Oryctolagus cuniculus: one gene and its partner. Each later gene encodes a partner of the first gene's protein in a complex. Links are inferred from orthologs where the notes say so. Each region holds a gene or a part of one and is shown on either strand. Other genes may lie near its edges.

Region 1 (3,650 bases):
CACAGATGATGTGTCTAATGGTGACTCCATAATAGACTGGCTTAACTCTGTCAGACAAACTGGAAATACAACAAGAAGTGGGCAAAGAGGAAACCAGTCTTGGAGAGCAGTGAGCCGGACTAATCCAAACAGTGGTGATTTCAGATTCAGCTTAGAAATAAATGTTAACCGTAATAATGGGAGCCAAAATTCAGAGAATGAAAATGAGCCATCTGTAAGACGTTCTAGTGGAGAAAATGTGGAAAACAGCCAAAGGCAAGTGGAAAATCCGCGATCTGAATCAACATCTACAAGATCGTCTAGATCAGAACGAAATTCATCTGAAGCATTAGCAGAGGCTCCACCTGCCAGAGGTCTGAGGAGGGCAAGAAGCAGGAGCCCCGACCATCGGAGAACCAGAGCGAGAGCTGAAAGAAGCAGGTCACCTCTGCATCCAATGAGTGAAATTCCACGAAGGTCTCATCATAGTATCTCATCTCAGACTTTTGAGCATCCTTTGGTAAATGAGACTGAGGGAAGTTCTAGAACCAGACACCATGTGACATTAAGACAGCAGATCACTGGACCAGAGTTGCTAAGTAGGGGTCTTTTTGCAGCTTCTGGAACAAGAAATGCCTCTCAAGGAGCAGGTTCTTCAGACACAGCCAGCAATGGTGAATCCACAGGATCAGGGCAGAGACCTCCAACCATAGTCCTTGATCTTCAAGTGAGAAGAGTTCGTCCTGGGGAATATCGGCAAAGAGATAGCATAGCTAGTAGAACTCGCTCAAGGTCTCAGACATCAAACAACACTGTCACTTATGAAAGTGAACGAGGAGGTTTTAGGCGTACATTTTCACGTTCTGAGCGGGCAGGTGTGAGAACCTATGTCAGTACCATCAGAATTCCCATTCGTAGAATCTTAAATACTGGTTTAAGTGAGACTACATCTGTTGCAATTCAGACCATGTTAAGGCAGATAATGACAGGTTTTGGTGAGTTAAGCTACTTTATGTACAGTGATAGTGATTCAGAACCTAGTGGCTCAGTCCCAAGTCGAAATATGGAGAGGGCAGAGCCACGGAATGGAAGAGGGAGTTCTGGTGGTGGTAGCAGTTCTGGTTCCAGTTCCAGTTCCAGTTCCAGTTCGAGCCCTAGCTCCAGTTCCAGTTCCAGTGGTGAAAGTTCAGAAAGTAGCTCAGAGGTGTTTGAAGGCAGTAATGAAGGAAGCTCATCATCAGGCGCCAGGCGAGAGGGTCGACATAGGGCCCCGGTCACATTTGATGAAAGTGGCTCTTTGCCCTTCCTTAGTCTGGCTCAGTTTTTCCTCTTAAATGAGGATGATGATGACCAACCTAGAGGACTCACCAAAGAACAGATTGACAACTTGGCAATGAGAAGTTTTGGTGAAAACGATGCATTAAAAACCTGTAGTGTTTGTATTACAGAATATACAGAAGGCAACAAACTTCGTAAACTACCTTGTTCCCATGAGTACCATGTGCACTGCATCGATCGCTGGTTGTCTGAGAATTCTACCTGCCCTATTTGTCGCAGAGCAGTCTTAGCTTCTGGTAACAGAGAAAGTGTTGTGTAATTAAGATCTGAACTTTCAGCTATGTAGCTGGTATAGTGATGGGCAAACAGGAATCACTTGTTTTATGTCCACTTTTTGAGTGGTGCTTAAATGTAAAGTAACAACCTGAATTGAGTCATTGCTTTCTGAAGGAATCATTGTCCTTTTTTGCAGTTTCTGTCCCAGAACACAAGGAAGCATTTAAAGAGCAACATTTTAGGATCTAACAATCTGATTTCAGTACCAGTTGAATTGATGACATCTCTGTTACTGATAATTTGTATCATATACACTTGTTGGTTTCTCCTTTGTTATCTTAAAGGATCTGCCTTAGCAATGGCTCCTATCTGTTTCATGTTGATCTTTATGTAAAGTTTCCCATGCCATAGGAGAGAGAGGGGTGAAGGAACTTCCCACTTTAGGCTAAGTTACAGTATGTGTTTCCTAAGTGATTACTTAAAACTGTACCATTCCCAGTTATTGACACAAATTCAGCCACATTCTGAGTATTGTTTGTTCACCTTTCAGACTAGGTGATACTGGACATGTCAGTGTAAATAACACTAAGGTTAGAATCCTCTAAGTGTATAACTGTCTCCTAAGCCCATCACTGTGGCACACTGTAGAGTGAGCTTATAGTTTAATTGAGATATTTATCTTGTGGAAATATTAAAAAGCCTATGCTTGTGTAAGTGAAAAAAATCACATTCATTTGTTTAAAAATGTAAAGCTATTTTGTAGAGGCTCAGTACTTTTCCAATGCACTGTTGTATTAATGCATAAAAAATTGTAAAGTACCATGCTTAGAAATGAGAGAACTGCTTTTTGTGAGCCAACATAGTTTAAAAAAAAAAAAACACACCAAACAAAGTACAAAGCTGCTTTTGTAAGTGTGTAGGTGTCAAGAGCAGAACATATCTATAATATTTAATGTATGTGAACAGCTACTGTGACATGCATAGGATAGGGCCATGCAGAGTCAAACTGCATTAAAGACCAATGGAAATTGTGTGTTTAACTTGAATTTAGGCAGGAAATGACAGATTGGAGTCAAGAAAACTGCTCTGAGGAGCATAAAATTTTCATGTAGACAGTAATAATGCAGACAACAACTGGTTCCATACAGTGAGAGCAGCAGCAGCATGACTTGGCATTCTACAGGAACATATGAGGCAGATCGGCAAATTTGGCAGAACTCTGGTTGCAGAGACACAAACCACTACATCAAGTTAAGTTGATGTTTTTGCAAGTCTGCACCTCCAACAGTGGAGGAAAGAGACTACAAACCACTTTTAGCATAAATTGCAGTTGGTACAGATGTGTGTGCTCATAGGAAAGTCTCGAATTTGCAGTGTTTTTGAGATTTGCCATTTAAGGTACTAGTGCACACTTGCTAATATTTCATCACAGTCTATCGCAGACTTAATATCTTGCATATGATGACCAGGTGAATTAAGGGATTTTTTTACCTTTCCTTGAAAGTGTATCATTTTGGCTTAATTGAAATTCAAAATTTAATTGTGGTGTCCATATTTGAAGATGAGACAGCTCACTCACTATGGACAGGCACTTTATGTTTTCTTAGTAGTAAGAGTAAATAATGATAACCCCAGTACTTTTGCCTAATTCCTCTCTTAAAGCTGGTTGGGGTCAGTCTGTGGAGCAGGTACTTGTTTTTCTGGGAAAAGCCAATAGGCCAGAAGAGGGCTTGAACACGTCCTTGGCCTTTAGCGAAATGAGCTAACTACCCAGACATAGTCAGATCCCTCTACAGAGTAAACAAGTCTGCTTTAGGAATTGTTCCTGGCTACCTTCACTGTTAGCAACTTCACTATAAAGATTATTTCAGAGTTCATTATCTCATGTTTTCTTCTCGCTTTCAATCCTACCTAAGTATCAAGGAAGTTAACTTGTAAATATGGTAGTTGTTTACTAAAGGATATGTACTGCTCTTGCAAGGAAATAATGTTCAAACAAAGCTTCACTTATTTTTTTTAATATAAGCAGATTTCACTGTTTATGGCGCTTATGTAATACATTTTATCTTTTAAAAAAAATTGTCCATGCAAAAGTCAGGATTCCTTTATATTTGTGA
Region 2 (3,650 bases), on another chromosome or scaffold:
ATGGATTGCTTCTGGTTAAAGATATGTAAAATGATTTCTTACTCATTTCATGTTTCTTAAAATATTGTTGGCAACACTTCGCTATATCTGGATGCCTTTCTCTGAGAATTATTCTTTCTGACTCCCATGCACATCTGCTCTGACATGCTATTGTGTACATACTGACAGTGTTTTAAACTTCTGACATTTTAATTGAAAGATGTAAGCGGAACAAAAAAACTAATGTTCAATCCAAGAATGATAATTTAAAGTGAAGTAAAAATTTTAAAAAAGCAAGAAATATGGTAGGGTTTTTAGCGCTACATCTGAAACCTACTGATGTAAAACTTGAGCATTCTATTAGGTGACTTTCGTGTTCATAACAGATGTCACAGCTGTGGGGCTGATGCTCTGCATTTGCAGAAGAGAGAAGGGTAGGGAGACATCCCAGCAGTGCGTTTCAGAGCTGTTTGGGCAGGTGTATTTTTGTTTGGCGTAGGGAAATGGCTCCGTTTTTTGGAGTAGGGGTGGGTGGTGTCTCAGTGAAGACATTGATTATTTTTCTCGACTCTTCACCCCTCTGTGCTTCCAGATTCTCCCACTCTGTTGTAGTGCTTTTTGCTCACCTTGTTAAAGGACTGTATTCCAAAATGACTTTGGTTTAGAAAAATCTGCAAAAGTTAGTCTTTGGTGAAGTTGCATTTTTATCCGTGTCAACTAGCTATTCACACAGATTCAGTTAATTATAGTATTGAAAAACTATGTGAGAGATATCTTTTACCTATCCTATACCTACATCCAGTCATAAAAGCAAATTTTATTTCACATCTTGATTTGATTAAGGGGTGGTAAGAAGTATCCTTTTCAGGGCCAGCATTGTAGGGTAATGGTGAAGCTACTGCCTGGGACACCAGCATCCCATATGGGTGCTGATTTGAGTCCTGGCTGCTCCACTTCCTATCCAGCTCCCTGCTGGTGGCCTGGGAAAAGTGCTTGGGCCCCTGCCACCCACGTGGGAGACCTAGATGAAGCTCCTGGCTTCCGCTTGGTCCAGCCTTAGCTGACCAAAACAACCCTCAAAAACAAATGAAACAAAAAGTATCCTTTTCAAAAGGAATTTTGTCCTGTTTATTGTGTTTTGGTAAAGGTGTATTTTGTGGTGTTGATGGTGTTTCTTAAAACATAGGTAGTTTTGTTCTTTAAGGCAGTGTTGAGAGATAGCTGTATGGAGTCCAGGTGGCCGTGAGGTGACTGCGCCATGGAGGGCACAAGGCCTTGTAGCATCTCAGAGCATCCCTTTGGCTAGGGTAGTTCTGCATTTGTCACAACACTCAGCTGGTAGGATTGTAAGGGAGGTCATGGTAATCAAGCGCAGCAATTGATTATGATAGAAGGACACTGAGGGGAGGGAGGATAGTCCTTTAATTTACCAGGATTTTTTTTTTTTTTTTTTTGGTCTCTGCTATCTAGGTTATAAAAGCTGCCGAGGTACCAAGGTATTGAGGAAATTTAGTTGATAATCAGAGTTGCTTGGAGAACATGAACTTAGAGCAAAGGGAATTTGAAAACCTTGAGGGACATTTCTTCCAGACTGTGGGGCAAAAAGGAGTTCTTCATTGTCTGAATACTGTCACCCTCCCTTGTGAAACGTGATTGCTTTATATGCTGGAATCGGTGCTGATGCTGTCCTGTGGTTCAGGCTTTATTTAGATCAAGCAGGCCTCTGTTCTTAGGCTGTCATGAAGGTTACTTAAACTGTCTGCTAGAGGATTCCTAACCTGAGTTCAGCCCTGAGGATGTATTGATTGGATGTGGATGTGAAAGTAGCCCTTATTTCTCTGTATCTGTGGATTTGTGCTAACCTCTGTTGCGGCACTTAGCAAGCTGGCTTACCTTGTAGTTCAAAATTCTCACAGTTGTGGGGCTAACAGGTTTACCACAGTGCCTGGTATAGCAAGTGGGCCTGTGTCCTTTTTTTCCCTCCTTTCCTTCTCTTATTCTTTTTAAAATAATCTCTTTATTAAGATATAATTTATGTATTATACACTAAATCCTTTAAAAATGTGTAACTCTGGCTTCGGGGGGCCAGTGTTGTGGCACATTGGGTTAAGTTAGCTGCCATTTCCAAAGCTGGCATCAGTAATGGAGTGCTGGTTCTAGGCTCTGCAGGGCTGCTCTACTTCCAATCCAGCTCCCTGCTGTGGTGCCTGGGAAAGCAGTGGAAGATAGCCCAAGTACCTGGGCCCCTGCTACCCACGTGTGAGACCCTGTTGGAGTTCCTGGCTCCTGGCTTCAGCCTGGCCCAGCTCCTGCCATTTGGGGGAGTGAATCAGCAGACGGAAGATTTTGTTCTATCTCCGTCTCTCCTTCTTTGTTACTTGGCCGTTCAAATAAATGAATAATTCTTTTTTTTTCTAAAAAAAAAAAACCCTTGTTTTTGCTGTATTGACAGTTTTGCAACATCACCGTTATCTAATTTAAAGGCATTTTTATCACCCCAACCTGTATTCATTAGCAGTTAGTGTGCATTTTTCCCTCATTCCTAGCCCTTTTTCTATGTCTTTGTGGATTTGCCTATTCTAGATAGTTCATAGAAATGGAAACATACAAACTGTGGTCATTTGTGCCTGACTTCTTTGACTTGTGTGATAATTCAAGATTCATCTGTATTGCTATGGATACTGTACACCATTCCTTTTTAATGGCTAAATATTAATCCGTTATGGGTCTACCACATTTTTATTTCCCTTTGTCCGTGGACATTTGAATTGTTTTTGATATTTAGGCTATTGTAATGATGCTATGAACATTTTGTGTATGAAATTTGCATTTTCATTTCTTAATACATTTTGAATGGATGAAAGAAAAGTTTTGGTAACTCCTAGCACTGTTTGTTTTTGTAAATGACTGACTGAATCCATTTTATATTGCATTTTACTTGTTTTATTTTTTAGGCTCGCTTTCTTGTGTGGAAGTACCTTACAGTAGTCCTCCCCACAGCTGAATAAATAATATTTGCTTCTTTAATCAAGGATCTAAAATGTCCACTGAGGCACAAAGAGTTGATGACAGTCCAAGCACTAGTGGAGGAAGTTCTGATGGAGACCAGCGTGAAAGTGTTCAGCAAGAACCGGAACGAGAGCAAGTTCAGCCCAAGAAGAAGGAGGGAAAAATATCCAGCAAGACGGCTGCTAAATTGTCGACTAGTGCTAAAAGGTACCTCGGTTGTTGCAACTTTTTAGTTCTGGTGTCATTTTATCCTCTTAACTTCTGCTTTTCTGATGTGTTTAGTCATTTTTTTCTGAGATGTGGGCCATGGATTTTTCTTTCCCCTTTAAGGTGACCTTTTTTAGGTGGCTTTAATTTTAGGGAACTTTTTGGTACTTAAGTCAGTTAAGTGGTATGTCAGATTTATAAAATAAACATATATTGTTAGAGAGGCCTGGACAGACATGCATATAAGTGTATGATGGTTTACTTTTATGGTTAATTGATCATTAATACTTTTTTTCTGTTTAGTAGCAAAGACGAGAGATTAGTAATCTGTTTTAATGATGGTGGAATGATGCCTTATTTTCTGCTACTTTCTCTTGGTTAAGTTAGAAGTGCTGAAATTATTAACAAGTGCATCTTGGTTTCATTACCTGATCAGTCTTGATACAGATTTTTTT

The links. Proteins that work in one complex are often made in the same cells at the same time.
Region 2: the proteins of RLIM (region 1) and UBE2E2 are in contact, whole or in part, in a crystal structure (PDB 6W9A), measured with the Homo sapiens proteins. The link is inferred for Oryctolagus cuniculus from reciprocal best matches to the Homo sapiens genes RLIM and UBE2E2. Residues at the interface, in NP_057204.2 of Homo sapiens: Ser571, Val572, Cys573, Ile574, Thr575, Cys596, Arg599, Trp600, Pro608, Ile609, Arg611; in NP_001357154.1 of Homo sapiens: Lys52, Thr55, Lys58, Arg59, Lys62, Pro112, Asp113, Pro115, Phe116, Ile142, Asn146, Trp147, Ser148, Pro149, Ala150, Leu151, Thr152.

The regions. Positions count from the first base shown.
Region 1 is NC_091453.1:54,291,893-54,295,542, reverse strand, and holds part of RLIM (E3 ubiquitin-protein ligase RLIM), read left to right. Parts: coding exon 1-1,576; 3' UTR 1,577-3,650. UniProt on the Homo sapiens protein: E3 ubiquitin-protein ligase.
Region 2 is NC_091435.1:159,120,071-159,123,720, forward strand, and holds part of UBE2E2 (ubiquitin-conjugating enzyme E2 E2), read left to right. Parts: intron 1-2,933; 5' UTR 2,934-3,019; coding exon 3,020-3,195; intron 3,196-3,650.